Linked DNA regions of Notamacropus eugenii. The protein of the gene in region 3 purifies or fractionates together with the protein of the main gene of each other region. This does not show direct contact. Links are inferred from orthologs where the notes say so. Each region holds a gene or a part of one and is shown on either strand. Other genes may lie near its edges. The genes, in order: HDAC3, E2F4, RB1 and TFDP2.

Region 1 (7,868 bases), on a different chromosome or scaffold from region 3:
AGGACAAACATCCAAATCATAGCCCTCCCCATACCTAAGGCACAGGGAACATGAGGATGGGGCAAAAGCTCAGTGGTTGTGGATACCATAGCAGTGGATGAATGGGGGTGGACAAGGATATGCTTACCTTGTTGTTCAATTGTGTAGCTCCCTGCAGGGAAGCACCTGTGTAACGGGAACAGAACTCAAAGAGGCCTGGGAACACAGGACTGTAAGACAGAGGTCATGGCTGGATCACTCAGAGCCTTGGCTCCTTTCTCAAGAAACTGAACACCCTCTCAGGCAATACACCTAATCCAATTTAGGCCCTCTTTCTTTTACCTTCCATCCTATTCATTCGTCTTTTTATTAAAAAAAAAAAAGTATGTGTGTATATATGTATATATATGTATATACACACACAGAGAATGTTATTTATTTATTGCACACCTAATATTTGCCCAACACTATTCTAGGCACTGTGGGGAAAGACACACATAAAGAAAAATGAAGAACAATTTAAGAGATATCATAACATAGCATATAATTAGTGTCAAGTCAATAGTACAGCCAAAAATGCTATAGGAAATAAGAGGAAGGAGAAATAATGAGGCTGCAGCCACCAGAAGGCTTCATGCAGGATTTGGAACTTGAGCTAAACAACTGGTAGAATTTAAATAGGTAGAAGGACATGGGCAAAGCAGAATATGCATGGCATATTGAGGAAAAAAGAAAATCAGTTGGCAGTTCGTGTAGGGGAGGAGCAAAAGACAAAGTTGGAGAGTCAGTTTAAAAGAAAGACCAGGAATAACCCTCAAGGCCAAGCTAAAAAGTTTGGGAGTTTGTACTACTTACCCTATATGGCAGGTCTCCCCAACTTGAATATAAATTCCTCAAGTTCAAAACTGTACTTCTGTGTGTCCCCAATTACATTTGACACAGTACCTTATGTCTTTTTCTCCCCATAACTTCCCTCCTTCTTCTCTACAATTAATTCCCCACCCCAATGACCAACACTGATCCACATCAAGGGTCCCTTGACCTTCCCTCACCAATCATCCCCCACATTGAAGGCATTGAGACTCTTAGTAAAGCCCTGCATGTTGGTGGGGCTGACCCGCTGCAGGAAGTCAATATAATCCTCTGAGTGGAAGCGGCACATATCATGCTGAGAGGCTTGGTATGGCTTGAAGACCTTGGAATAAAGAAAACATGTTGAACTTTGGCAGGATTAGTTCCAAATTAGGAGGCTTTGACTGCTTCAGTCCAACCTCAGAGGTTCCAACGTACTCCCACCCAAGTACCCACACACACACACACACATACAGACACACTCCCTCTTACATGGAGGTCTCCCCATGGAAAAAAAAGATCAATCTGAGGCTAAAGCAAAGATGCTGAATTCAGTCATTGACTATTTTGCTATATTTATCCCCACCCACATTCTCATGTTTCCCATGTCACCCTTTCCTCGGTCCCCCACTCCTTCCTGTCCTTCTCCATAGTCCTGCTGTCCGATCACCTCTGGATTCAAATGTGACATTGTACATGAAAATATTTTGAAAAGCATCAATCAATATACAAATATAGTACATTATTATTGTATTCTCTTTGTTATGATTCCCCAAATTAATTGGAAGCTTTCTGAAATTGGAGATTATGTCTTTTCCAATAGTTAGAACACTCTCTAAAGGTAAATGCTTTCTCTTTTATATCAAAATACAGAGCTCTACAAATACTGGAAAAACAAATTCAGTATATATATATCAAAAGACTCCACAGGGTAGCCAATCTATTTTAGTAACCCTATTCTAAGCAAACCCATCTATGGATTTTATATTTAACAGTAATCCTAAAAGTGACCATCAACGGCATGCATATGCATACCATTCTGAGTCGGAACAGTCTCAGTTCTCATCTTCCATGACCTAACCATGTCAAAGAAATATGCCTTGGCCAGTAGCCACAGAGACAAGGTTCTGTGTGTGCTGTGGTAGATTTTGGGGTGTATCTTTTTTGGAGGGGGGGAACAGAGAGGTGCCAAGTATATGAGTAGCCAACCCAAGCCCCTTAACTCTCAACTTGGAGGGAGTCCTCCTAAGGCCATACAAACCAAAACAGAAAGACGGAAGGGCTGAGTTAACTCTTGTACAGGTGCATACTCAAAGTATCCTCTCATTCTGTTGGGATACTAAAGTTCTGGCATCTTCCTATGATAATAAAAGGATACTGTGGGACAGCATGAGAGGTGAGGTGATATTGTAAAAAAATATATATATATATGTTGGATTTGGAGTCAGAAGATCTTGGTTCAAATCACAGGCTTTCTACATAGGTTACCTGTTTAACTTCCCCTTTCTTGGCCTCAGTTTCCCATCTATAAAATGAAGGGCGTTTCACTAGAGAGATCTCTAACATCCCTTCCAATCATTATTAACAACCTTTCTAACCCCTATTAACCTATCTATGTATGACTCAGGGGATGAAGGGGTCTCCCTGTCCCCATTTCCTCTAAGCCTGCACCCCAAGTGCAAGTGCACACTCCCCTCCCGCACTGCACCCCCTCTCCAATCGTGGGGTGGTGGAGAGGATGGAGGAGAAACACTCACAATCATCTTCTTGTAGAGTCCATAGTGCAGCACCAGGCTGTGGGTGAGGGCCAGACGATGAGGTTTCATGGGGTGACCGGCCCCTGGAGAAAGGGGTGGTAAAGAAGGGTCTCCGAGTCACCACCCCAAAGGGCCCAACCAGGATCCTCCCTCCCCAGGGTCCTAGGGAACTCGCTCCACCCCACCCCCACCTCCCAATCCTCCACTTGGTCCGGGTTGTGGGGGGTGGGGGGACAGAGGTGAGGGAGCCTGCTCGCGCCCGTGCCCCCTACTCCCCCGCCCTCTTCCTCCCCCATTCCCCACCTCGCTGCCCGGGGTTCTCCTCCCCATTCTCACCATAGTGGAAGTTCCCCACATCCGGGTCATAGAAATAGGCCACCGTCTTGGCCATAGTACCAGGGGGACCAGGCCCCGCGCCTCCGCCCTCCAGCCCCGCCTCCAGGCCCGTGCGTTCTGCGTCATCGCGCGACGCCACGCCCCTTGCGGAATCCGAGGTCGCTGGGGTCTCCAAGGCTCAAGGGAGGGGGAAATCAAGGCCCCGCCCCGGCCCAGAGGTGCCACGCCCCCTGACTCCGGTAGCTCCGCCCCCTCAAGGCTGGCTGCTTCTGCTGGCTGGGGTGACTGAACACCGCGGGGAGGGTGGGGCCGAGCCCCAGAGGGAGGGTGTTCCCGGGGTATCCGCGGAACTTGAAGTGCACAATCGGTCCCCGAGAAGCTGAGCATCTCAGAGTTCCCCATTTTCCAAGCCTTTAATTCCACAGAGGTTTATTAATCGTTCAGTCCGTGGGCATCCCATCCCCCCTCCTATTCACCCTGAGAAGTAGGGGGTTCACATCCCGCCGCCGCGTTTCTACCTGGGCACTGGGGATGAGAGGCTGTCCTAGGGTGCAGGGAGCTGTCTGTATCCTGCCCGAAGGGCAACTGACACCTTCCCACCTGCCGGGCTCCCAGATTCCCGGGTTGTACCCAAGAACCAGAACAAGGGGGCATATCACCCAGCGGTGGCCAAGGTGCCTGAGAGACCCACGCCCCGAGTGGGACACACTGACACGGAGACCTAGCCGTGTCAGACACTGTGGTGTCACGCACGCACTCCGTCCCACACACCTGCCGCTCCGCCCCCTTTATTCCCGTGCCCGCGCAGGGAGCACAGCCGGAGAGAGAGCAGCCGGGACTAGGAGGTGGCTGCGGTAGAGGCCCCCCCATCCCCTTCCCATCCCCAACCCTGAAAGTCCAGAGGACGCCTGCACCCAATTCGATTTCCGCTTTCCCTCCTTCCCTATCCTCCGCCTTCCTGTACCCCTACTCCCCTACCCCCAGCCCGCCGCGGCACCAGCAGCCGCAGCCCGGAGCCGGAGCTGGAGCGGGTGAGGTGGCCTGGGGGGTGGGGAGAAGGGGGGAGGAGGATGCTCTCGGGAAGGGCTCCCAGGGCAAGCTGAGAGGTACTAGGACGCTGCCGGAGCCAAAGCCGAACATACATACCGCATCCCCAGGGGCCGTGCAGAGACCACAAGGTCAGCTGGGCCAGGGGAATTGAGGGGGGGGGGGGTGCATTCTGGAGAGGGAGGGGAGTCCAGAATGTCTCTAGGAGCCAGGAGTTGGAGAGCGGTGGGACAAACTGAGGGGTATTGAAGGAAAGGAGCGTTTCAGGGGACCTGACCTGGGGTTGTGGAGGAAGTGAGGGGCCAGCGCTGACTCAGACTATGCCCAGGACCGCATCATAGAGCTCCGTCCAGTCTTCAGTGACAGTGTCCTTGGGAGGAATGGGGATGGGGAGAAAGTAGGGTTTGTTTATGCAGGGAGAAGGAAGGCACGTAATATCAAAGGGAAGAGGGATGAAGGTTGGATTAGGAGTATGGAAAACAACTTGCAACCCCTATTGACCAGGTGCCCCGGGGCCTGGCTGACTAGCACCCAATCCCTGGACAGCTCCTGGGCTGAGAAGGCAAGGGGTTCTGGATTTACTGGAGGGTCCTGGGGGGACTCCCGGTAGGGGTCCAAGCATGGAATTCACCGCCCTCCCCCTGACTCCATCCCTCTTTGAGGCCCTGACCCCGGCTCGGCCCGCCCCCCAGGGCCGCATGTCGGAATTGCAACCAGGACCAGAGCCCCAGCATGGGCTGTACATGCTGTTCCTTCTTGTGTTGGTCTTCTTTCTCATGGGCCTCGTGGGGTTCATGATCTGCCATGTACTCAAGAAGAAGGGTTATCGCTGTCGGACATCGAGAGGCTCAGAGCCCGAGGATGCCCAGCTCCAGCCACGTAAGTGTGGGAAAAGAGGGGGAGCCCCATCACCAGGGACCAGCCGCCTTCATTTTCTTCCTTGTACGTCCTTCCATCACACACTTGTATGTGCCACACACACCTGCACCTTTCACTAACACTCCTGAGTGCACCTTATCCAGGTCTCTTCTTCCTCTCTCCTACCCCTGGTGGGAAGATGACTCCTCCAGAGCGACTTCCATCCCCCTTTGCTCCCCTGTTATCCATAACTCACAGTTCATGTTTCATTAACCTGTCAGGGAGTTTTTGCAGCTTAGTTTGGGGGATAGAGTGCAGTGAGTTCAGTAACTAAAAGGCAAAAATCACAGTGACTGAGGTCTCGTGAAGTATTTTGGGGACCTGCTGGTTCATTACTCCTGAAATTATACAGTAGGCTGAAACAGAACCCCTGGGAAAGTGAAAAGGAGGCAGGAGGAAGAGAACGGCCTCCTTGTGAAACTTTGGCAATCTCCTACCACCTCAGTTCTCTGTGACTCGATATTACCATCTATAAAATGAAGGGATTGTACTCTATGACCTCTAACGTCCTTTATGGCTTTGGAGTTGTAATCCTATGGTGGTCACTGATCTTGAACCACTAGAACTGCCAGGAAGCCAAATAAGGTGGTCATGAAACTCAAAGGAACAATCCAAAGGCCAGTGACTTTGCGTTGGCCCCAGTCTCTCTTTCCCTGAAGTTGACCCCTTTCCTCCCCTCCACAGCGGATGATGAGGATGTGAATGAGGACACAGTGGAAAGGATTGTCCAATGCATCATCCAAAATGAAGGCAAGTGCTCACTGGCATCTGCTGTTCAGTCCCCTGCTCCATTCCTACATCCATGACATTCTCTTGCCACTTGTCTTTTACAGCCAATGCTGAGGCCTTGAAAGAGATGCTTGGGGACAGTGAAGGTGAGGCAACAGTACAGCTGTCCAGGTGAGCTGGAAGTGTGGAGAATTCCCCCAAATACTGATCAGGACAGCACTTTCTCCTTAACAACTAGCCCCTGTTAAAGTCACAACTTAATTAGTTGGACACTATGATTTGAGGAGCACCAGGCTATCCAAGTATCACTGTCTCAATTCCATCATTCATTCTTTAGGCTAGTTATTGACTTCACAATGTAGCCTCATTGGATTTAAATAGCCTTGAGTCACAAAATGTTGTCACTAGTTCCTTGGTGTGAATCAGAGTTTGGAGAAAGAATAGGGCAGATAGAAAGATGGGGGGTGGGGGGGGGAGTGTCGAATGGATGCACAGAGGGCACAGTGGAAAGGATTTTCCTTTATTCTTTCAGTCTTGATGGTGCTCCAAGCCTCCAGGATGGGACTCCATCTCATCACCATACAGTTCACCTGGGCTCATCAGCCCCTTGTATCCACTGCAGCCGAAACAAGAGGCCACCTCTCGTCCGACAGGGCCGATCCAAAGAGGGCAAGGGCCGTACTAGGCCAGGAGAGACCACAGTATTCTCTGTGGGCAGGTGTGGATAGAGCACCCAAAGAAGAGGGGGGCAGCATTCAGGGCCTCCCATTCAGGTGGTAAATCTTTCTAAGACAGTTGGCCTGACCGGAAGATTTATCCAGGCTTCCTTACTTAGTATTACTCCCCTCCTATTCTGGAGGGTAGGGGAAGAGGAGGGTTTCCAGCCAGGGAGTACTCTTGGGGTTGATTCATCTATGTGCTGAGGATTCCTTTGCTTTCAGAAGCTATCAAATGTCAGTAAATGGGAGTGCTGGGGGCAGTGTTGGGAGAAAGGGTTCAGAGAACCTCTAGCAATCCTGAGTCACAGCATATTCCCTTCCCTTCCAGGTTCCGGGTGACACATATTGAGAAGAGACTTGGGCTTCATGAACATCGAGATGGCTCACCCATCGATAGAAGTTGGGGCTTCAGTGGTGGGCAGGACCCAGGGGGTGGCCAGAGTTCTGGGAAAGGGCAGATTGGGACTGGAACTCCTGCCACAGAGAGACTTCCAGCATCAGGGCCAGAGGTTGGCATCCTATCTAGTTCCCCTGTACAGAATGGGGGCCTCAGAGAAAGGAGCCTTGTCCCCTTTCTGACTGAGAAGCCCTCTGGAGCCATGGAAGACTCAGAGGCAGCAGCCAGAGAGAGGGACACAAGGCCAGTGTTGACCAGAAGGGAAACTAATGGACAGCCAGCCAAACTGGATGCCTCAGATCTCCAGGTAGGCAACAATCAGATGTGTGTATAGAGAAGTCAGGGTGGGCAGAGTCACTGGATAAAGCCACAGTCCCTGCTTAGTAGGTCCAGTTTTCTGACTAGATGAAGTTAGAGAGTTTATGGTAGCCCTTTCCTTCTTTATCTCAGGTGTTACCGCCAGGTGGCTCAAGATGAGTGTGAGGTGAGTCTGGCCCTCCCAAAATGTGTTTGTTTCCAGGGAAGGGCGGGCACCCCAAGGTAAAAAACAAAAAACTTCAGCCTATGAAGCTGATTTTAAGGAGGGAGGGGCTAAGGGCACCACTGCTCCAAGGGGCATTGAGAAGGGAAGGGCAACATGAGGTAGAGTGGAGGGGGAGGGGTGGAGAAAGGCTAGAGGAGGCAGGAAGACTATCCCCTTCCCTCTCCTTTTCCCCAAGCTTTATCTTCACTCCCTACTGCAAGGATGAGTAGCTGACTGGGCAGGGAAGAGGGACAAGCATGAAGCCCTCTCCTCACTCTGAGACAGCATTGCCCTCCAGGAAAACAAAACAACCCCTCTTCCTGGGGGCTATATTATCTCAGTCTGGGAATGAAGAGAGTGGTCCCCAGCCTCTCAATCCCTTCCCTCCACTTCATCTCCAGCCTAAGACAGGTCAAAGGTGAGGAGAAGTTACCCCTACATTCACCCCAGGCTCACTCCTCCTTCATCAACTTGCTCCCCTGCTTGAGTGTGGAATTTGGGAGCAGGCCCCATGCTCAAGATGGGCACCTGAAGCAATACTCCCCAATAGGCCTCCCTCTCAGCACACAAAAGCTCAAGCACTGGCTTGGGTTCCTTGCCCCTTTATTGCA
Region 2 (7,877 bases), on a different chromosome or scaffold from region 3:
AATTAGACCAATGGCACAGGGAATGCAACACACTCCAAGGGAATGACAGGAAAGGGACTGGTTCTGGGACCAGCACTTGAGAGCTAGTGCCAGCCATGACTGAGGGATTCCTAACGCATGATGTGGTAGAAAGCACATGGTCCTGGAGTCAGGAGCCCTCGTTTTTAATCCCAGCTAAAACTTTTAAGTCAATTCTCTGCTCTGGAGCTCAGTTTCTTAATGAGTAAAATAGAGATAATGCTTTTTTACTACCTTCCTCACCGAATTGTAGGAAAAATATTTTACATCTGTATTTATACCCCAGAAAACAGGATCCATTAGTATTAGCATTATTACTATAGTTTACGTTCTTTTTTTAAAAACTATTCTGCTGCCTTCTATCTTTCTTCACCAACACCCCAAACCCTTCAGGGTGCGGCCTGACTGTATCTCTCCACGACTAGAACCAGCTCTTGCCTTGCCTTGCCCAGCCTAGATGGTTGTCTTCCTAATCTGTGGGCCTAGCAGCTCTGACACCATTGATCTAGCTGGGAATCACACTTTGGACACTTACAGTTTACTGCTTTGACCAAAGGGGCTCAACTCTTGAGCTTCAGAATTTTCCCCTTTGTTAAATGTAGATGATTCTTATACTACCAACCACACAGGACTGTTTTAAGAAAAGTGCTCTGTAAACCCTGAAGAGCAGCCATTAAATCTGAGCCAGGATAATGAATGTGGGGAAGAGGAGACAGAAGGAAAAGAGGAAGAGGGAGGTCCTGGAAGGATATCAGTTGTTCTGCACATCTTCAGTGACATTCCGGATGCTCTGCTGCACCCACACCTTGTGCTGGTCCAGCTCCTGCTCCCGCTGTTGAAGCTCCTCAATTTCAGCCTTCAATTCGATGAGCTTGTCTGCTATTTCCCTTGTGTTACAGCCAGGTCCCACACCCCTATGTACAGTCCCCAAGTGGGGAGAGGGGAGTGAGATGGTACCTACCTCCCCAGGGTACCTGCCCCTAGCGTAGACATCCATCCAGGGTCCAACACTCCATGAAGGAACCCTCTTCCTCCCACCTGTCTCACTCAATGAGGCTCCTCAGTCTCTCATGAGAATCTCTCCTGCCCTGCCTTCCCCAGTACTCACTTCCACTGGATACTGTTCTTAGACTTCTTTTCAATCAGCCCAATTCCTTCCAGGACATTCGTGATGTCATAAATTCTCCGCTTCTGCCGAACAGCCAAGGTATCTGCTGCCTATTGGAGGAAGAAAAGAGAGATGCTTCAATTTGTCCCCACGGTTTAAGCCAACACCAACTCCAACAGACTTCAGCAGGGCAGGCTCAGTGCAGCCCAGAGCCACACATGACATCTTAGGAAGTTAACTTTGGTCTCCAAACTCCTCCTTACTTCTGATGTCTCTCTGTACCTGTGGTTTGCCCTACTCTCTCCTATGGGCCTGAAACACCTTCCCCTGCCAGGCATGGTACAGTTCTCTTGCCCCGTGCTCCAAAATCCAGGTTTGTTCCAGCTTGCTTCTCTTCTAGAGACCCAGCAAAAGAAGGGCATCTCCGCAGATGGTCTCGCCCAGACCTCCCTCCTTCACCTGCCTTTTGCACTTTGCAGGGGTTCCTCCTCTCTCCATGCTGGTCATTGCTCCCCCCCCCCCCCCAGTCTTCAGTTCTCCCTTGTCTTGTTCAGATCTCCTCCATTCATGCTCTGATCTGACTCCCTCATCTCTTCCTCCAGCTGTTCCTAGGCTGTTGGTCCAATTTCCACCTTTCAGGATTCCCCCAAGACCCTCGTCTCTTGGACCTCCCTCCTCTCTTAGCAAGGATTTATGAAGCCCTGTACTAAGAAAAAGCAAAAAACAGTCCCTGCCCTCAAAGGACACGCAAATCACTACATAGGAACAAGCTACGAACTTGACAAACTGGAGACGATGAGCGGAGGGAAGGCATTAAGGTGGATCGGGAAAAGCTTTTTGTGCAAGGTGGGATTTTGGCTGAGACTTGAAAGATGAGAGGTGGCGACGAGGAGAACTTGCTTCCAATGACTCTGGGAGCCGCTCACCTGGGTACCCGCTGTGCATCCCCGGCCCTCGCTTCTCCCCCCTGGTGCATCCCCGGCCCTCGCTTCTCCCCCGTGTCCGGCCCCGGCCCTCGCTTCTCCCCCTTGTGCAGCTCCGGCCCTCGCTTCTCCCCCTGGTGCATCCCCGGCCCTCGCTTCTCCCCCGTGTCCGGCCCCGGCCCTCGCTTCTCCCCCTTGTGCAGCTCCGGCCCTCGCTTCTCCCCCTGGTGCATCCCCGGCCCTCGCTTCTCCCCCGTGTCCGGCCCCGGCCCTCGCTTCTCCCCCTTGTGCAGCTCCGGCCCTCGCTTCTCCCCCTGGTGCATCCCCGGCCCTCGCTTCTCCCCCGTGTCCGGCCCCGGCCCTCGCTTCTCCCCCTTGTGCAGCTCCGGCCCTCGCTTCTCCCCCTGGTGCATCCCCGGCCCTCGCTTCTCCCCCGTGTCCGGCCCCGGCCCTCGCTTCTCCCCCTGGTGCATCCCCGGCCCTCGCTTCTCCCCCGTGTCCGGCCCCGGCCCTCGCTTCTCCCCCTGGTGCATCCCCGGCCCTCGCTTCTCCCCCGTGTCCGGCCCCGGCCCTCGCTTCTCCCCCGTGTCCGGCCCCGGCCCTCGCTTCTCCCCTGTGTCCGGCCCCGGCCCTCGCTTCTCCCCCTTGTGCAGCTCCGGCCCTCGCTTCTCCCCCGTGTCCGGCCCCGGCCCTCGCTTCTCCCCAGGGTCCCCCACTTCGGAGCCGGGCCGGGTCCGCACCAGTTTCAGGTCGAGGACTCCGTCCTTGGCCTCCTGCAGCAGCGACACAAACTTGGTCGTGAGCAGCCCCAGGCTCTTCTCGTGCCGGCTCGGGGTCCCGGGAGGCGGCGGCGGGGGCGCCTGCGGCCCGGACTCCGCCATGGCAGCCTGCCTCCCTAAGCCCAGGCCAGGCCGGCGCCCGCCGCCTGCCGCCGCCACTTCCGCTTCCGCTCGCCAGTGCCCGGCCGGCAGCCCCCTCAACACTTCCGCTCTGCACTTCCGTTTGAGCCCAGCTCTAGGCCTGCGCGTGCGCGCGTGCGCCCCTGCCGGTAGGCCTCCTAGCGTCTGGCGCCACCAGGGACCGTGTGCGATTCCCTTTCTCCCGGAGAGTCGCAGAATTCCAGGGGTCGTAGGAAAAAGCCCAGCCCTCACGGAGGGCGAAAACAACCCAGACTCGTCAACTACCAGATCTGGCGAGAAACTCCTGGGCATCGGGTCAGACCGCCTGAGTCACGGGCGGGGTGGGCAGAAGGCAGTTAAATGATGCAGTAGACTGGAGGCAGCAGGGGCTCTGTCAGTCAGTCGAGCAGCACTGATTAAGCACCTACTGTTTCCAGCACCGTGCCACCAAGACCTGAGTTCAAACGCAGCCTCCGTCCCTTACCACCCTTGTAACCCTACACGAGTCGCTTTACCTCGGCCTGCCTCAGTTTCCTAAGGTGTAAAATGGATATTATAACAATAGCATCTGCCTCCCAAGGTTGTTGTGAGAAAATTAAATATGGTTTGTAAAGTGCTTTGCAACTCACCATGTAAGTGCTAGCTGGTGTCATGCTTTTTTCCAGCTCCTAGAAAGTTTCCACTTACCTGTGGCTCCCACAACCACCTCTCTCCTACACCATCCCCCCGGGGCAGCTAGGTGGTGCAGTGGGTAGAGCACCAGTGCAGGAGTCAGGAGGACCTGAGTTCCAATCTCAACTCCAACATTTGACACTCACTGGCTGTGTGACCTTGGGCAAGTCACTTCACCCCCATTGCCTCATCCTGGGTCACCTCCAGTCTTATGGCTGGTAACCTGCACAGCCCTCCCTCACTCAAAACAAAGTCAAGTGCAAGTCATGATGGCATGGTCTTCTTTGGTAACAAAGGACAAACACACACAGCCATCATCTCTGAGGGCCACGGTGGATATCCTTAATGAAATGTTTGTTGACCCCTGCCCTAGTCCCTGGGATCTCTCTGGCTACCCTCCTCTCAGTCCACATTCCAATTCTGCGGTCCCAGACCTCTCACCATATTCACAGGTCCTGCTGCCCAAGTCTGCTTGCTGGGGGCTGGCCATGATGCCATGCTCCCGCCAGTCAAGATTCACACCCTTCCACTTATATGGCACATGTCTTGTATATACATTTAGGAATATGCATTAGAAAGTAAGGTACCTGAGGGCAGGGACCTGATTTTTTTTTTCCCCTTTCTTTGTTTCTCAAGTGATTAGCACCATGCTTGGCACAGAGTTAAGTACTTAATAAATGCTGGTTGACCCACATCCTGCTGGAGAGAAGAATATACTGGCACTCCATATGGAGGTAAAGATCAGCTATCCTCCTTCTATGCTGAGGTAGAAAAGGGTTCTTGGGGCATCTCTGCAGCTGGGTAAAGAGGCACTCCCCTTAGCCCTGGCTGAGGCATCTATACAGTCTGACCCATGCCCATAACAGGCCACTTCTCATGTTCTGTTCCACTAAATTTATCCAAACTTACCTGTCATGATACCCACCACCTGCTGCTGGATGACTCCACCCTGCCTTCTCTGAGATCTCTCCCCAACAGGGGCAGAGGCATAATCATCCCTAAGATCTTTTGCAATGGAAACCACAAGCAGGGAGAGAAAGGATTCACATACCAGAGAGGGATGGAGACAGAAGTGTTATCTGTCCCCTCTCCTCCCTTTCTCTTCTAGTTCCTGGCTATTTCCTATACCCCTGACTCCCACTAAGCCCCAGGAGGAAAACATAAGGAAGTAAAGAAGGTGGAGAATGGAAAGCATAAATCTACTGGGATCCATTGGGAAGGGAAGAGGTGGGTGCCCTAGGGCATAGAGTTGGGGGGGGGGCGGTCAGAAAGCCAGACTTTGATGAACACTGGAGGGCGCTAAGGGGCTAGGATGCTGCCACTTCCCTGGAGGGGGCATAGGCTGTAGGGTGTAGCTGTAGTATACACAAGCAATACCCTCAGCCCTTGCCCTATGATGCGGTTACCCAGGCTAGGGCTGGTACTCAGCGCTCTTCCCACCTCTCTTGTCTATCTAGACATTAGGGATCATACACAGGGCATTTCCCACAAGCTCCAGTGCCCACCCCTTCACCTTCAGTCCCTCCTCCACCCCCATCCCCCCAACACACACTCCTCCCTCCCATATCCTGAGTAGGCTGGGCAGGAACCGTGCTGCCCCAGAGGAGCCTGCCTGGAGAAGAATACGCTTTGGCTTTTAAGCTCAGCTGAGCCAAGCTTCCATAATCAAGCTTGAACCATCTCCCAACCCCCCAACAGCTAGGCTCAATTCCAATATCAGGCCTAGCACCCCACACACCCTTCCTTTACTAAGCCATGGGCATGGATACGGAGGAGGAGCAGGAATTTGGAGCCCCCCAAGGTAATGAGCCGATCCCCCTGGGGGTCACTCTGGGATGAATGAGTGGATGGATGGGTGGAGGAATGGATGGATGACCTCTGAGAGAAGTTCTGAACATCTGGAGACAGCCTTGGTGGGGAAGAGAGTGTGTGTAGTGGGGATGTTTTCCCAGGCATGGGCAATCAGCCACTTACCACCCAATAGAGGTAGCAAAGCAGAGTGGAAAGAGGATGGAGAACCTAGGTTTTTGTAGGCCATGCCATTTACTAGCTGTGTGATCTTAGACAAGCAACTTACATGACCTCTTGGGGCCTCAGTTTCTCATCTGTAAAATGAGGGGTTGAACTTAATGACTTTTCAGCCCTAAATACTGTGATACTTTGATATGGACCACATTGCAGTCCATAACAATATGGCATTTAGTGCATTTATAAAGTACCACTAAACCCGACCCCCACCTCAGCATTTGGGCAAACTTGGAGTGTTAGAAGAGGCAGACTGACCAGGTCAGGGCCCCAGATCCAGTGACTTCCTGTTAGGGACAAGGGATGGGAAACAGCTGTGGCTGAAGCCTCTTCCTGCCTCCCCCCACCCCACCCCTATCCACCTAAGCAGACTCTGAGTGGCCAGAACTAGAGAAGGCTGAAAGGTTGGCCAGAGGGGCAGCCCTGAAATGGGCCTCAGGCGTCTTCTACAGTCCCAAGCAGCTGACCAGGCTGGACCAATACCGAAGCCGAGAAGCCCAGAGAATGTGCTCCATCGAATCCCGAATCAAGGTGGGGCCAGGGAGAAGCTTGAATTTGGGGTCCCTAAAAGTCATCATCCATCCCTAGTCCCAGTCATTCCCATTCTGTCCTAGGCTCTCCCTTCCCTAATTCTGTCAAACGACCGTGCCCCACCCATATCAGATCATGCTCAGAGGGACCTTCTCTGCCCCCTCCATTGCAGGGTGCCATCTACCACTGACCTCTCCAAGCTCTCTCCCCACAGTCAACTGTACAGTCTTACTTGGAGAGTGTGCAGACAGGCCTTCAGCAACTAGGCCTGGCACTGAAAGAGGTCCAGGAGGCTGGGGAGGCCCTGGTTGGGGCCCAGGAGGCACTCTCGAAACAGGCTGAAGTTGCCCACACCCTGGGGCCTCTCCGGGAGCTGGCCAATCAGCATAGACAGCTGCAGGCGGTGACACTCCTACTGCCCCAACTCTTGGCAGGTGAGGTCCCATAATGTTCCTGGGTTTCATCAGGGGTAGGGACGAAGAGGCTCACCTTCGAGCTCACCTGATTCAATGCAGAAAAGAAAATGGAGACCCAGAGAACTTAAGTGATAGTGCAGCTAGGATTCAAACCCAAATCTTCTGACCTCAAATCCAGTGTTCTTTCTACTGGCCCATGTTGCCCTTGAGCACCAACCTTGGTCAGGCCACTTACCCCTTACCCAGTCGGTCAGTTTTCCAGACTGAACCAATGAGGGAGCTTGGGGAAAAGAAGTCTGTACTTTTCTAATGTATGACTGATCCACAAAGTGATCATGTAAATCAGCTACAAAGTCTGAAGAACCCTAAGGTTCTTTGAGGTTTGGTTTTGTTTCCTTGTTTTTTTTATTATTTTAAATTTCATTTTATGTTATTTTCATTTTCACATGGGGGTTTAATAAATGTTTGCAAGACTGAATTTCACCAGTAAGAAAACTGAGGCGCAGAGAAACGAAGTGACGTAAATATCCTGAAGTCACATAGCTAGTTCAGGACAGGTCTGAAGAAGTCCTGATGTCCAGCCCATTTCAGGACTGCTTCCTAACCTCCTGCTTCCTACTTCTCTCCTCAGTACCTGAGGCAGTGGCCAGAACCCAGGCCCTGATCAAAGGCAATCGATTCCTGGAGGCCTATGGGGTCCTACGGCAGCTGGAGCAGTTAAGGGATGAGGTGTTAGACCCACTTGGGAGACCTGAGCTATCCCTCTTTGAAGGTTTGACACCTCTCGGGGAGGAGCTGGGCCTAGCCATGGGGAAGGTGGTGGGTTCAGCTCGGCAGCTGGCACGAGATGATCCAGCCCTGCTAGTAGCTGCAGTTCGAGTGGCTGAGTTTGAGGAGGAAAGGGATATTCAGCTCCAGTCATCATCCCCTGGGCGCCCCCGAGCCTGGCGCCAGTGCTGCCTTGGGGCCCTTCGGAAGGCCCTTGAGGAAGCCTACTTTGAGGGACCAGCCCCTGGCCCTCCAGGTCTGGCAGGACACCTGGCTACTCTTCAAGAAGCTCTGCCTGCTGAACTGGCCCTGGCAGAGGCCCTGGTGGCTCCCTGCTGCCCTGGAGATTACAGAGTGGTGAAGCTGTGGGCCCACACCTTGCACCAGGGCCTCTGCCAGCACCTGCAGCAGCTTCTGGACCATGAGGACCTGGGCACCCAGGACATCTTCACACTGTTGCACTGGGCCCTGCATATTTACCCAGGGTCAGTGCCAGGCCAAGGGTGGAGAGGGTGGG
Region 3 (8,211 bases):
GTATTTGGGCATATATGGGTCCTTTCTATCTTTAACCTCCTTAGGAGTAGGACCTCAAGGTCAAAAGGTATGGTCCTTTTAGTCACTTTCTTAGCATAATTACAAATTGTTTTCTGCAATGGACAGACCAATTCACAGCTCCAGCAATAGTGTATTATGTGCATGCCTTCCCAAATCCCATCTAACATCAACTATTTTCACCTTAGAATTTTCTGGGTGTAACATGAAAGTTCATAGTTGTTTCAAATTACATTTGTGTTTCACTTTTGTTTTTGTATCTTCAGCACTTAACAGAGTGCCTCAAAAATAATACTCAAAATATTGTGTGATTTCTTTTATTGTTATTAATTTAGAGCAATTTTCTATAGTTGTTAATAATCTGCACCTCTTTTGAGAATCTTTGATTTATATCCTTTGACAACTTATCCACTGTAGAATGATTCTGTTGTGTGTGTGTGTGAGTCTGCCTGTGTATATCTTGAAAATAAGACTATTCTAAGACACATCGGATGCAATGATTTTTTTCCCAAAAGACAAATTTCCCATCTTGTTTTAGTTACACTGATTTTTTTGTTTTCTGCAAAAGCTTTTCAATTTCATGTAACTGAAATCATCTATTTTAATTTCTCTAATTTCCTCAATACCTTGTTGGTTAAGTATTCTCCTTCTGAAAAATAAGTGATCTCACTTTATTCATTTTTATTATGACCTGATCTTTTATATTCAGGTCACATGTTCATCTTGACTTCATTTTGATACATGATACAAGTTGTTTGTCAAAAATTCAATTTTTTCACTAACTGCCTTCCAGTTTTCTCAGCAGTTTCTATAATACCTTTGTTCTGTATATTGTCTGTCATGACAAATAGGAATTGCTAATGTTAGGAAAACCACCAGAACTTGACTAGCTGAATAAAGAACGACATTTTCTACTACATCACCATCTGAAATCTGACCTCTTGTATTCTTTCTACTTATATATTTTAATTGTACATTTAAAGCACTCAAAATGTCTTCTATGAGCCTATTAAAAACACAAACCAAATAATATATCTGTTGTTGTTTAGTTGCCCCATTTGTGTTGCTCTTGGCAAAAACTGTGGAGTGGTTTGCCATTTCCTTCTTCAACTGATTTTACAGATAAGGAAACTGAGGCAAACAAGGTTAAGTGACTTGCCCAGGGTAACACAGCTAATAAATGTCTGAGGCCAGATTTGAACTCAGGAAGATGAGTCTGACTTCAGGCCCAGCACTCTCTGTCCACTCTGTCTATATGCCCAGTTTCATGGTAAGACCTTACAATAACATCAAGTTGACTTTTTTTTAAATTGTATATATTAGCATTCATTGCCCTTCAATAGATCCATAACCACAAAGTAGAAACAAATCTTGGCTTCCTTCAAATCCCAACTAAAATCCCACCTCATGCAAAAAAGCATTTTCCAATTCCCCTTAATGCTAGCGCCTTCCTTCTGTCCAGGATCTCCAATCTGTCCTGTATAGGTCTTGTTGTACCTTAGTTGTTTGCATGCAGTCTCCCCAATTGGATGGTGAGGTCCTTAAGGTCAGGGATTGCCTTTTGCTTTGTTGGTATTCCCAACACATAGCATGCTTGGTCTTAATGAATGTTTACTGGCTGGCTGACTGACTGGAGAGTAAACATACTAAATATATGTTTTTCAATATCAAACATAAAGAATGGCTACAAAAAAGAAAAACAACCAACAAGTTGTAACATACACATGACATACCACTCTGTAATATTCTACTGTATCCACTAGGGTTGCTCATATAAAGATTTCATTAAGTAAACAATTCCATGTGATTGGTCATGGCTGAACATCTTACAAAACAATACTCGATATCAGACATCAATGTCTCTACCCACCAAAAATTTAAAATCAATCAACTTTGACACGCTGATGCAGATCTACATGCAAGGAGTTTCATCTAAATTTGGGGAAAAAATAAAAATAAAGACGAAATTCATAGAACAACCCTTGTCAGTTTTACGTTTTAAGCGCTTGTGCTGTAAATTACATCACTGAAAGTGTTTCACAAGGGTTTAAAACATGGACCAAGAAAAAAAATGCTACTAATGAGTAATTTTCTTACAAAATCACTACAAATAACTTCTCATTTCCCACCTCCACACCTTACAGCATCGCCATACTCCGGGGCTCAGATCTCACTAGACTTCTCATTAGTCTGGTAACACTACAGAAGGGTGGACCCTCATTCTCAGCAGTTCCCACAGTAACTGTCCCCCACCACCACCACCCCGACACTAAGCTCTGGCAAGATGGTAAAAACAATACTTTTTATTAGCTTTATTACACAGGAAGTGACAAAGTATGATATGCGCACCCGCATTCAACACACCATTTAGGAGTGGAGGGGGCGGGGTGGGGGAGGGGGATGTCGTGGGGTTTCTTAATGTATCTCATCAGGGTGCGCTCGGACCCCAACAATCTCCGAACTCCACCGCACGGAACAGAACAGAACAGGATCCGTGGGCATCTCTGGAGAGGAAACAATGCTCTCTCCCCGACTAAGCACAGTCACCACCCCCACCCTCCACCACCCGAGAGAGAAAGAAGCCACCTGTCACTCCTTCTCCCCGGGACCCCGGCCCGCCCCACCCACCTGTCAACCTGGGGCCAAGGCTGCGGCCGGGAAGCCCCGTCCCCGCGGCCCGGCGCCCCGCGTTCGCAGCTGTCAGCCGGCCCAGGGGCCGCCGGGGGCTCGTGCCCCGCTCCGGGCTCGGGCCCGCAGGCCGCCTCGACGGGCAGCCGGCCCCTCCCTGGTCACGCCGCGGCGTCTGCCGGGTGCCCCGCTCCCCGGAGAGGCTCCGGCCCCGGCTCTCTCACCTGACGAGCGGCAGGTCCTCTGGGCCGCTATCCGGCTCCGGCTCCTCCTGGCGAGGGGGAGGGGAAGGCGGCGGCGGTGGCGGCTCCGGGGTCAGAACAGCCGGTTTCCGAGGGGCTTTGGGTGGCATGACTGACTGACTGACCGACCGACTGACTGGCAGGAGCGACTGGGGGGTTGGGAGGTGAGGGGCAAAGGGGAACACGCGCGCACGCGCTCTTCCCAAGTGAACGCGCCGCCCCAGACGCCCTTCGTCCTCTCTCGGCTCCCGTTAGAAAACTTTAAACGTTCTCCGAAAACAACCAAACAACCGGGAGAGCCCTGTCTCCACCCACCTCTCTAACCCTAGCCCGGCACCAAAAGCTCCGCGCTCAACCGCGGGAAAACGTCACTTCCGCTCCTGCGCGCTAAGTCCCACCGAGTTCCCGGGCCCGCCCGCCGAGCCTGGGAGGCAGAAGGGAGAAGGTCCGCGGCGAGAGAAGGGTGGGGCTGCGGGTGCCGGCCGCGGCGAGGCCACGAGCGTGTCGTGGGGCCCGGCCCCGTGCTGGGGGTGGGGTACCTATCGGGACGGAGAGGCCCGGAGCCCCGGCAACCAGCGCCGGCCTCTTCCCCTGAGCAGGCCCGGCTTGGGCCTGCCCTCTGGTTACCTGCAGCGCCGTCGTGCTCCCGAGCACGCGGCTCCTTGACTGCCCCGTGCTGTGGACGCAGGAGCCCGCATGCGTAAAGGAGCCCCTCCAGCCTCAGACGTAGGGAGTGTGACCCTGGGCGAGTCATCGCCCCTGTACTGTCAAACAGGGATAATCCACGAGCTGCCTCCCAAGGTGGCCGTGAGCATCCCAGGGGATCATTGCTCAGCTCTTCCCCAGGGCCTGGCACTCAGCGAGCGCTATGTCAGGGTTATCGTTTACCCTTACCCCAGTGCCGGATATATCGTTGTTGTTGAGTCGTGGGCAGCTAACTGTCCGTGGCCCCATTGGGGGTCTTCTTGGCAAAAACACTGGAGTGCTTTGCCATTCCTTCTTCCAGCTCATTTTATAGAGGAGAAAACTGAAAATAAAAAACAAAAACAGGTTACGGGACTTGCCCGGGGTCACACAATTCTTAGGTGTATGAGGACAAATTTGAACTCACTTCTTTCTGACTCCAGGCCCTCTGCTCAATCCATCGAGCCACCTAATTGCCTCCTGTCTGGCATATGGTAAACACTATCTATCTATCTATACGTGTGTATATGTGTCTATGTAGAGAGAGAGACACACGCATATATATGTTAGCTATTACTATCATCCTTATTAATTGTGAAGTGCTTAGCACACCTCCCAGTACATAGTAAGTGTATACAGATGTTAACTATCATTATTAGGACTTGATTTGATAGTAGAGTGGTTCAGTAGAAAGATCACAGGCTCTGAACTCAGAGGTCTTGAGTTCAGATAACCACTTCTGATGCTTACTGCTCCTGAGGTCTTAGGCAGATCAATGAATGTCTCTCAGCTCAGTTTCCTTATCTGTAAAATGAAGGGTTTGGAGCTGAATGGCTTTCTTATGTCCCTCCCAGCCATGATCTTTCAGCATGCAACACTCACTTTATTTTAGCTGAATGTGTGCAGTACTTAAAAGCATGCCAAGGGAGTCCAGGAGATAGTATTTTCAGACGTGGAGCTTTCAAGATTGGTAGTTTGTACAAATCCTGACTTTGCTACGTAACCCACCTGTTGATCTAGAGCAAGCCCCATAACTTGTCTGGATGAAAACTTCCTTTTTTCTTTTCTTTTTTCCTTCTTTCCTTCCTCCCTCCTTTCCTCTCTCTTTCTTTCTTGGTAAAATGAGAGAGTTGGATCAGTTGATGTCTGTCTCTTCCTGCTCTAAATCTATGATTCGATAACATTAAACAACTTAATAATTTCATTTCCTTATAATGTGCTTAAGTACCTGAATGAATTAGAACATGTACTAACTATTGTAAGAGGTCAAAGAAGGGAACTGTCACCAGGGGTTTCCTTATGAAAGAAGTAGGATTTTAGATGGTCCTAAGAGGTAGGATATATGGTTAGTTAGAGAAGAAAGGGGAAGAGGAATCCTTTGTGGGAAGCACAGATTTAGATCTGGAAGGAGCCTTAGAATACCATGGACAAATGCTTGAAGTGGGAGTACCTGTGTGATTTAAGGGAATAGGGCAAGACCTGGCAGAAATAGTCCATAAATGCCAAAGTCCCAAAGTTGAAGACTTTGGACTTTTTCCTGGAATAAGCAGGGAACCATGGAATGGTTTAGGAGAGGCAGTGTGGTGTAGTGAAAAGAGCAGTGGATTGAGAGTGGAACCAGAATTCTAACTGTGACCTTTGACAAGTCATTTAACCACTGTTTACTGCTTGGGTAGGGCCAGATGAATTTTTGAGATCTCTTCCCACTTGAAAATTCAGTGAGTTCATGGGGGTTATCTAATCATGCCACTGCTCTTCGTCTTTCTGCCTTCTACCCTCCAGGAACTGACGCATGAACTGTCAGACTTTTTCTTTTATTAACCTGCTTCATCTTGCCTTTCCCTTCTACTCTCCCTACCTCCTGCCCCTTAATATGTCCCATTTGACCACTGAATAAAAGGAAAAAGTTCTACTTAATCTTATTGAGATTGTCACCAACAAATAACTCTTGGTATCATAAATGGAAAAAGTAGGAATGAAAGGAAAAGAGGAGAGGAACAGAACCCTGAGCCTGGGTGTTAATCTTGGTCTTCTCTCCTCATTCCTTCTTGGCTGGAGGAGAATCTTAAGAACTCCAGAGATCCAAAGGACTTCCCATTGGCATTCTAGCACCATTCCTGGATCAGGTGATGGCAATTTCTGTATCTCAAGCCCAAGACAGATTGGATGTGGTCTCATGGCTCATCAAAAGTCCCAGCAGAAAAAGATATCTGATACCTAAGGGTATCATCATGCAGACTCTAGTGGAAGGATTTCCAGGAGCAGTGAGTTATTCCATCACAGGTACTCTAAGCTTTAACCCACTTCCCCCTCTCTTTATAATTGTGGAAGAGTATGTCATAGATATTTGAAGGTACTATGTAAAATACCCCATTCTAAAAGCTAATTAAGTCTGGCTGATTAATTCATATCAATGGACAATAATGGCTGGGAAACACTCCAGTAGAGGCTTGTTAGCTACAGCATTATGAAAACCAACCCTTCCCTCCCCAACCCCTTTTAGAGCTTTAAATGCAGTAGTCATGTTCTGAGCACCCAACCTTGTCAGTGTGAGTGTGAATTGGGATATTAGCTCGAGAGTATGTGCAACATGCATAAATTGAGATAATCCTGTAGCTATAGTGTTAAGGTTTATAAAGCAATTGTTTCACATCTATCCTGTGAGATACACAGTCTAAGTATTTTCCTTATTATAGAAATAAGGAAATAAGATCACAGGTTAAATGATGCAGAGGTTAAAATTCCCATATGATAATAGAAGTGGCATCAGAACTGAGACTATAACCTAGGACTTTCAAGGCAAGTTCTCTTTTTCATTTTACTCATGACTTCTCATCGGCAACACTAAGCAGGTCTTGTTAGGATATCAGCAGAGTCCCTGAGGGTTACATATTTTGATCATCTAACAACCATGGCAGGGAAACAAGCTAGCTGGGGCTTGTAAGCTGTAGCACCTGGGAAAAGAACCCTCCAGTGCCTCAAGGCTACCCTTAGAGTCCTGAGAGGATGTAGGAGCCATGTTCTGAGTACCCAGCTTTGTCAGAAATACCACCTTAAATCTAAGGAACACTTTACTGGTCATTTTTGAAGGATTACGAATGTTGTCTTTATTCTGAAGGCCGTTTGATGAGGGTAAAACTCCTCTCTTAAGGAAGTCAACAGCTTTTTTCTACTATTTGCCAAGATCCTCTGTCCTATATAGATGCTTTATCATCTATAGAATTTTAATTCCTTGAGCAATTCATTCTTAGACAGAATGAAAGTTGCTAGACTTCCTGAGGAGAGGAGAAGATCCAGACCTGAAATTTAATCATAGTGTGGCCTGGTACTGAATAGTAAATAAAGGATAATGGATAATGGTATTTAGAGATGTTTTACAATATGTCTACAACCAACCTTTCTTAACTTATTATATATTACTCCCATTACCACACACACACACTAGCAGCAAGCACCCTGACACATCCAGGATGGCCTGATAGTACAGATTTTTAGATCTGCTTTATTAAAAGGAAAGTGACTTTTGAGGGGTCAACAATCTACTTTAATTGTGTTCACCAACAGAGCAAATACAAGCAGAGAAATAAAGACCAACAGACAGGGCTTGTAACTGTCTGACCATAAGCAAGACATACATAGTTGTGTGTTCGCCCTTCCTTGCCGAAGAAGACCATGCCATCAGAGAAATGATGACATGACTTGCACTTCACTTTGTTTTTTGAGTGAGGGAGGGCTGTGCAGGTCACCAGCCTCACTTCTCCTCCAGAGTCATCTGAATCCAGTGACCAGATATTCATCAGGATGACTGGAGATGACCCAGAGTGCACTGGAGACCTTGGCCCCTTTAGGCCAAAGTCTATTTAGGTACTCACCTTGGGTGAGGTAATGCCCATTCATGGGTGGGGGAAGATCTAACTCTCATTAACATTACACACACACACACACACACACACACACACACACACACACACACACTACACATCTAGTCAAACTGGCTTTTTGTTCCTTGTTCAAGTCCCACTTCTGACACCTACTAAAGTTTAAAAAGGCTAAGGTCTCCCACTGCATCCTGGGCCATCTCCAGTCATCCTGATTTATATCTGGCCATTGGACGCAGATAGTTCTCGAGGAGAAAGTGAGGCTGGTGACTGCACAGCCCTCCCTCAAATCAAAGTCAGCTGCAAGTCATGTTGTCATCTCCCTGATGTCATGATACTCTTTGAAAATGAAGGACAAACACCACAACCACACACAACCACAAGGATTACTCCTGGGAAAATGCTAAGCCTTCCCATGCCCCCAAACCACTCCCTTAGACTTAGGTTGCAGATAAGTTGCTGATCTGTATCAGTGAACTAAGTTTCTACACACAAAAGAAATCACAAGCTAGGCTGTATACTAGAAATTTATCCTACATGATAGGAGTTTATAGATCACAGCTCAGCCAGTGTGCATATAACATGTTATACTGGAATGAGCACTGGCTTAGGAGTCAGGAAATCTTAGTTCTAGTTCAGATCCTCCCCTTTAAGTTTTAATATTATTATTCTCACAGCGGATATTGTATTGTATTTTGGATTAGAAAGCCCTGTATTCTTATCTAGTCTCAGTTGCTTATGAGCTATATGACCCTGAGCAA
Region 4 (7,475 bases), on a different chromosome or scaffold from region 3:
GTTACATACATATAGACTCAAAAAATGAATGAACTTGTCACTTTTCAAAAATGTCAAACATATTCTAAGATCTTAGTATTTAAAATGACACTTAAAGGATTTAAAGTAATACCCCAAGTATTTAAGATGATACCCGCATCAGAAATTTGCTTGGAACCCACACTTCCAAAACTTAATATTAATTCTTACTGCTTTTGCTGCTGACAAAATTGAACTGATATGATCAGCTAGTGTTCTACAAAACCAATACCAACCAAGGACATGTATCTTTATGAGGGAAAAAAATTTCAAATGCAAGTTATAAAACTCGTATTAATGAAAGAACCTTTTGAATTTTCAAGGGTACCAAATGTAAATGCTTTTTTCTAATCTAAATTACATCACTATCATCAGTCCTATTTATTATAGTTTTGGTAATAAGAAACCACTTTCCATTTATTAAGGCAGCAGAGATTTTTATCTGTGTATCTCACTTCTTGATTGTTTTTAAGTTCATATTTGAGGGCTTTAAGAATTCTGGCTGCAAAGGAAAAATCTACAGGCGTCCAGAAAGCCCTATTAAAAAATAGATACAAATTAAATGGCTACAATAACATAATACTACCTGCATGATACTGACTAAGCAATTATAACCTATTTGGGCCAACTTCCTCATCTGTAAAATGAGGGGCTCGATCTAGATAATTTCCTTCTAACAAATTTGTTTGCTCCTAACATCAATAGAGAAAATTGAAGAAGAATTTACTGAGTCTGTGAGACTTACGGGATTTGTTTTAAAATAGAAACAGTAGTCCTAAATCAGAGAAAAGGTTGCTACCTAAGTAAAGACATTAAGACCAAAATCTGGTTCCAGGCATAAGATCATGTAATACATAGCAAAAACTTAATTGTTTTGGCTGCAAAAGAATCTACAAAGCCTAAAGTTTCTTAGGCAAATGTCAAAACACTTTAGAAATGTCCACTATTTCATAATTATGAAATACAAGATACACATCCACAAAAATGTGTACTATACATGTCTCTTTTAAGATAACAGTTGTCTTAAAAACAGCACACCAACTTCGAAGAGAATCTAGGACAAATAACAGAAACAATCTGCATTTTGCTTTCCAACATAAGGTTTTGCTTTGCTATTTGGGAACATCACTGATTCTGATCTTATAGTATTTTAACACTGATAAATAACACTAAGTTCCTTTTCCATGGGAGTGGGAAGGTAAACTAGATGATCTCAAAGGTCCCTTCAAGTTATAAATTCTACAATTAATTCTACTATTTTCTTTAGCTGACACAGGATTTAGATACAACACATAACAGTAGAAAGTACACTGGATTTGGAATCAAAGACTCTAGATTCAAATCCCAGCTTTGTCATTTTCTCCCTATGTGACCTTGGGCAATTCACTGGTCCTAAGTTTTCTTATCTGTATAACGAGGGAGCTGGAATGGATGACCTCTAAGGTTCTTTCCACCTTTAAAATTATGACATGATCTATTATTTCCAGATTAGAGGCAGCCTGGTAAGAAGAAAAGAATACAAGGTTTGAAATCAGAAGAGTGAAGATCCTAGCAGCAATTTAAGCCATGCGACCTTGAGCAAGCAGGTTGTTTCATCTTTCAAGGCAACAGTTTCCTCATCTGTAAAAGGGAATGGATCTGAAGATCATCCTTCTTCTCTAAACCTCTATCAGACTCTAACTGAGAGACCAGCAAAAATGATAAATGGTACAGGAAATGATTTGAAAAGAGATCAGATTATGACTATAAGACTAAAGTTTATAGAAGGAGAAAAAACCCCAGAAACTAAGCTATTAACTTTTTCAGGGAGAGGAAGAACACAGGATTGAAGTACTTGGAAGGTTCAGTGATATTTTGGGAGACCTCAAAGACCCTGAAAAAAGGAAAGGGAATTCAAGTTTACATATTGATAACATCTGATTCATTTTCCATGGGAAAGGGGGTAGACAAGATACATAACCTTTGAGGTCCCTCCCAGCTCTGAATTCTCTGATAAAGCTCCGTGGAAAAGATGGTCCAATCTATAGATCTCTAAAACAGTTACCACTGGGGAATTACAGTTGTTGAGAAAAAGGTGAACGCAGGAATTAAATTTAAAAGCATAGGAAAGGATAGGGGGGAACAAAGCGAAAGCTTCAGTTTGGATAAATGCCTCCGACTGGTGGTCAGCACGAGAAATGGGACGCTCCACGATTCTCGGGTGGGGAAGTGCCTCTGGAGGAGCTACAAGATCTTGAGCTGGGGTCCTTCACCCCAGAAGGCATCGAAAAGCCAGCAAAGTCGCTCTCCTGCCGGGGGTGCCCCCCACAAATGGGAGGGTGTCCCGGTCCAGCTCTCGGCCCCCGCGTAAGCACCAACACGTAGGTTCCTGCGTCCCGCTCCGGGGACGGAAGGGACAGCGCGCGTGGAAATAAAAGAGGGGAAGCCTCTCGAGAGGGGCACGTGGGGGGTTCCCCAGTCATGAGGGAGGGGTGAGAGCCAGGGGCTCACTTCCTCGGACCCCGCCCCACCCACCCACGGCAACCCCACAGCGCTGCCGCGACCACGCGAGGACCGAGCGCTGGGGGGAAGGGGGACGTTACCTGCCGGCGTAGCCGTGGAGAAGGCGGCCTGAGGGGCTCGCGTCCGGCCCACGACGCGAAGGGGGCGAGGGAGCTACCCCGAGCCGCTGCCGCAGCAGCTCCTCGGCTGGACTGGGGCCGCCGGCGGTCTGCGGACTCATTCCCGGGGGTCCGGGGGCGAAGGCGCCGGGGCTCGAGAGCCCGCGAGACCGGCCGGCCGTGCGCACGCAGCCTCCAGCAGCCTCGTGCCCGCCCGCGCGCGCGTGCGCCCCGCCACCCGTGCGCGGCCCTGCTCCCCCTCCCACCCCGGGCTCTCGTCGCCCCCCTTCGCCGAGCGTCGGGAACAGCTGCCGCGCCCCAAGCCCGGCTCAGGCCCACCTGCTCCTCTCACCTCGCGGGCGGTCGGCCCCGGGGCCCGGATCAACTCTCCTCTCTCTTCCCCCGCGCGAGCTTTGGCGGGGGCTGGGTACTGCGCGCTCCGGTTGGACACCGGGCCGCGTGACGTCAGGCGCTGCTGCCCGCCGATTGGTCTGGCTGGCGATGCGTGCGGGGTGTAAACAAACCCCGCCCCCTGGCTTCCCAATGAGGGCGGGGAAAGGTGGGGTGGGCAGGGGGGCGGGGCCGAACGTCCCGCCCGAGCCCAAGCCACGAGGTGACAGCGGGAGGGGGAGGAGCCCGTGGCAGGGGTGGGGAGGGGTGGGGAAGGAGGGAAAAAGCGCTCTGGGGGTGGGGCTTGCATCAAACCCCGCCCATGGGGAGTGGCCGAAAGGAGCGTGGCCTGTGGCTAGCCCGGCCTCCAGATTTTCTGCAGGAAATTCCAGCCCCTTCCAAGGAAAGGGCCGGAGGCGCAACAGATGGCTCCGGGCCTGGAGTCGGAAAGACTAGTTCAAATCCCGCACATGTAACCCTTGAGTGCTTGCAAAGTGCCTTACAAATAACATCTCCTGTGATCCTCGCAGCCATCCAGGGAAGGATGCTCTTATTATGAATTATTATTCCTATTGACAGATGGAGAAACTGAGGCAGGCTTGGACATCCTGAGGCCGGGGTCTATCCTCTGCTGAAACCCCCAGCGGCCAGAAAGCACGTGTTGAAAGTCTGCTTACGTGCTAAGTGCTGGGGATGCACAGAAAGGTGGAAACCATGGTCCTGCCCTCAGTGAGCTCACTTTCTGATGGCAGGGTGAGTCCGCAAGGAATTATACATCCAAGACCTAGTTCTTCCTTCCCACCAAACTTCCCTATCTGAGCAGGTAAAACTTTCATTCCCAAAGAGGACCATGACATCAGGAAGATGTTGCCATGACTTGTAAGTGAATTGGATTTAAGAGATAGATCAGAATAGGCTAGAGATGGCCCAGCATACAATAGGAGACCTCCACCTTTCTTAACTTCTCTCAAATCATACCAATCCATTCACACCCCTGGGAGCCTGGAATGAGGCACCTACATAAAACCAATCCAAATAAGGAACCCCAGAGACAGGATTCAATTGTTGTTGAAAGGAAGTAAGTAAATCAGACTGGGTGAAGCAGTGATGAATGGACTTTGGATTTTTCCTCATACCAAGAAAGGGCATGAGGACAACATCAGGAGTAACTGAATCAGATTTTTAAGACCTCAGAAGCCAGGCAGACCAAGTTCCCACCGATGAATTCCCTCTATATAACAGTCCCCATGGGAGGTCCTTTAGTCCCCAGGAATGGATAACTCAGACACTGCAAGAGACTGGCCATTCCATTTTCATCAGCTCTAAGCATAACAAACGTGTTCCTTCTGTTGAGCTGAAATCAACCTCTCTGTAAATTCCTAGGTCTACCCTCCAGGGCAAGTTAATTCCTGGTTCTCAACCTTTCAGATGTTAGAAAACTGATCACATCTATCATATTTTCTTTTCTTCAGATTAAACACCACCTTCAAACAAACCTTCAGTCTGTTCTTTGTTTTTGTTTTAGTAAGATTTGCTTTTGAGTTTTTTGAGTTTGCCTCACTATCCTGGTTACCCTCTCGACTCTAGTTTATCAATATGTCTCTTAAAACATAGGTCTCAGAGCTAAGCATTCTTTCAGAAGAGAAATAAACAGGTAAAGTCAAGGGAGTTGAAAGCTAAATAATGGCAAATTAATGTCACCTTGAATAATTTTTAAATACACAAATCCTAAAGCAATCATTGCTTCATTAACAAAAACTAGAACATTTATAAGCCAATTCAATACAAGTATTTTTAATGTCCCTATGTGAAAGACACTATGCAAAATGATGGAGATGCAGAATATATACCCCTGGACCTCCACCCCACCTCCAGGACACACACTCTACTGAGAGAGTACTGTTGTTTCCTCTACTGGGAGAATACAACATGTACACAAGTAATTCAAGGAGGAAGAGACCCCTAATCACTGGATGAGGATAGGCTCACTTCACAGAGAAGATGGCAAGAAAATAAGGCTTCTGAGGGGTATGGATAAGGAGTGAACTGCAAATATGAGTGGCGGCTTGTGTGGATACATGAAGGCAGATGATAGAATGTTGCATCTGAAGAGCAGCTAATAGGCTAGTTCAGCTGGATCCTATATTACATAAAACAAGAAGGAGAATAATGTGAAATGAGGCTGTAGGACTGGAACCAAATTGTTGAGAACCTCAAATGCCAGGCAGAGGAGTTTGCATTCTGTACCAAAGGTCATAGGGAGCTACTGAAAGGTTTTGAGCAAAGGAATGACATGGCCATACTGGTACCTTTGGAAGATTATTTTGGAATCCTTGTGGAGAGTGGATTGAAGATGGGAGACTGGAAGTACAGAAACTAATTAGGAGGCTAACAATTTAACAATTGTGTAGGTGAAGTATGACAAAAGTTTGAACAAGACTATTGATACTTTGGAGAAAAAAAGAATAGAAGAGATATGGAAGTCAGATCCACAGGATTTGATGAGGATTTAGAAATGAGGGCTGATAACTGAGATTATAACCCAGATAATTGGGAGTCCAATGGTGTCTTCAAATGAAAAGGGGAAATGAGTGTGGGAGAAGAGAAGGCAGGCTTAGAGAAGATAATGATTACTGTTTAAGATTGTGCCTCAATTTCATTCAAAATCTGCTAAAGCCAATATTCTTTTGAGCAAAATAACTTGTAAAAAAAACTAACTTAAATATCTTTCATATAACTTACTCAGACACAATGTAAAATAAAAGGAACAGTGGAATGTAACAAAATTTCCATCTACTGTGTATCAGTGATGTGATCTGCCTATGAATTTCCATGACCTAAGCAGAGTAAACCATAAAAACCTGTAGTTGCTAGTTCCACAGAAAGTCAGTTCCTTCCAGGATAAAGGACAACTTACTAATGTAGTTTTTAAAAAAAAGACCCTGAAAACCTTTCAGGAAAAAGTAACTTGTGGAAGTTTTTCTGGGGGGAGGGGAAAGGAAAATTAATATAACATTTAAAAATTCCTAAATAGGTACCTAGTGCCAATTTTGGTCCAGTGATGGTAAAATTAGCTTCACAATTAATGAAAAAGGATTTTTTCCCTTTTGCCTTAATAGCCATTGCTCTCTTTTCCTCCTCATTGCTTTAATCAGTAATTATATAATGGGACAAGAAAAGAGAGATTTTTTTATGTCATTATCATCACTCAGATTTACACAGTACAATATGGCTTACTTATTACATTCTTCACAACCTGTTGAGGCAAGTGGTACAAATATTTTCATTTGCAGATGAGGAATGAGGCTGAGAGGAAATGATTTACTCAAATTCACATGGCCACTAATAAAAATTTATGCTTTCTCAGACCAAAATCCGTACTTTGTCCATTCCACCATGATTCTAGAGATGAGAACTTCAGTGTTTATTTTATATTATCCATGCCTAACCAAATCTACTTAAAATTAATCAGATAGGTATCAATAATGTTATTGTTGTTATTCAGTCATTTTCAGTTGTATCCAACTCTCTGTGACCCCATTTGGAGTTTTTCTTGGCAAAGATACTGGAGTGGTTTGCCATTTCCTTCCCCAGCTCATTTCACAAATGAAGAAACTAAGACAAATAGGGTGAAGTGACTTGCCCAGGGTCACATAGCCACATGTCTGAGGCCAGATTTGAACTCAGGAAGATGAATCAGCCTGACTCCAGGCCTGATGCTCTATGAATCATGGTACCATCTAGCTACATCAATAATGCCTACACTTCATAAAGTGTACTACCTATAAAGTATAAAATATACTTTAATAATATATGCTTAATAAAGTATACATGTATACTAATATATTCTACTAGTCAGCTCATATGTGTCCTGGCCCAGGGCTTTTTTATGAGAACAAAAATGTTTCTTCACTTCCTTTTTGTTTTCTAAGTCCCAGACCCACATTACCAACTAATTACTGGACATTTCAAACAGTGTATTCCATGGACATCTCAAACTTAACATATTGCAAGCAGAATTCTGCTGGGATTCCCCTCCACAGTTCACTAACTCTCACCATCATTGATGGATGACTAAATCAGCACTATCTACATGAAATGTTTCCTGATCCCCACAGGTGCTCAGGCACTCCCTCACAAAACTACCTTATACTTCAAGTATTCAGTGTGTTATGTATATGCTTAGAAACCACCATGTTATGTATTTATTTAGAAACAGCCATGTCATCTCTCTCATTAGAATTCAAGTGCTTTCAGAGTAGGAAAAGTTCAAGTGTGCCTTTCTATTCCCAGCTCTTAGCACAGTGCCTGGTGCACAATATATATTGCCCTACATGTAGGTCCTTTTCCCTTTTATTTTTTAACTCTTTTTGGATACAGACCCAGTTGTGGCACTGCTAAGTCAAAAGGTATGCATGGTTTTATAGCCCTTTGGGCATAGTTCCAAATTGCTCTCCAGAATGGTTG

Evidence for each region.
Region 1: the proteins of RB1 (region 3) and HDAC3 purify together in Homo sapiens (affinity purification with western blotting; 3 studies listed by BioGRID). This does not show direct contact. The link is inferred for Notamacropus eugenii from reciprocal best matches to the Homo sapiens genes RB1 and HDAC3.
Region 2: the proteins of RB1 (region 3) and E2F4 purify together in Homo sapiens (affinity purification with western blotting; 10 studies listed by BioGRID and IntAct, with this or other methods). This does not show direct contact. The link is inferred for Notamacropus eugenii from reciprocal best matches to the Homo sapiens genes RB1 and E2F4.
Region 4: the proteins of RB1 (region 3) and TFDP2 purify together in Homo sapiens (affinity purification with mass spectrometry; 4 studies listed by BioGRID and IntAct, counting the BioPlex papers as one, with this or other methods). This does not show direct contact. The link is inferred for Notamacropus eugenii from reciprocal best matches to the Homo sapiens genes RB1 and TFDP2.

The regions. Positions count from the first base shown.
Region 1 is NC_092872.1:369,001,083-369,008,950, forward strand, and holds the start of HDAC3 (histone deacetylase 3), read right to left. Parts: upstream 3,012-7,868; 5' UTR 2,980-3,011; coding exon 2,925-2,979; intron 2,672-2,924; coding exon 2,589-2,671; intron 1,275-2,588; exon of another isoform or gene 1,175-1,274; coding exon 1,032-1,174; intron 210-1,031; coding exon 128-209; intron 1-127. Other genes in the region: RELL2 (RELT-like protein 2), read left to right, coding at 4,592-4,850, 5,574-5,639, 5,723-5,789, 6,151-6,336, 6,666-7,041. UniProt on the Homo sapiens protein: Histone deacetylase that catalyzes the deacetylation of lysine residues on the N-terminal part of the core histones (H2A, H2B, H3 and H4), and some other non-histone substrates.
Region 2 is NC_092872.1:695,050,178-695,058,054, reverse strand, and holds the start of E2F4 (transcription factor E2F4), read right to left. Parts: upstream 3,044-7,877; 5' UTR 2,931-3,043; coding exon 2,790-2,930; intron 1,237-2,789; coding exon 1,127-1,236; intron 933-1,126; coding exon 771-932; intron 1-770. Other genes in the region: EXOC3L1 (exocyst complex component 3-like protein), read left to right, coding at 5,376-5,421, 6,013-6,176, 6,391-6,610, 7,224-7,845. UniProt on the Homo sapiens protein: Transcription activator that binds DNA cooperatively with DP proteins through the E2 recognition site, 5'-TTTC[CG]CGC-3' found in the promoter region of a number of genes whose products are involved in cell cycle regulation or in DNA replication.
Region 3 is NC_092876.1:108,201,816-108,210,026, forward strand, and holds the start of RB1 (retinoblastoma-associated protein), read right to left. Parts: upstream 3,251-8,211; 5' UTR 2,999-3,250; coding exon 2,871-2,998; intron 1-2,870. UniProt on the Homo sapiens protein: Tumor suppressor that is a key regulator of the G1/S transition of the cell cycle. The hypophosphorylated form binds transcription regulators of the E2F family, preventing transcription of E2F-responsive genes.
Region 4 is NC_092877.1:330,407,390-330,414,864, forward strand, and holds the start of TFDP2 (transcription factor Dp-2), read right to left. Parts: upstream 3,133-7,475; 5' UTR 2,971-3,132; exon of another isoform or gene 2,958-2,970; intron 2,852-2,957; exon of another isoform or gene 2,601-2,851; intron 1-2,600. UniProt on the Homo sapiens protein: Can stimulate E2F-dependent transcription.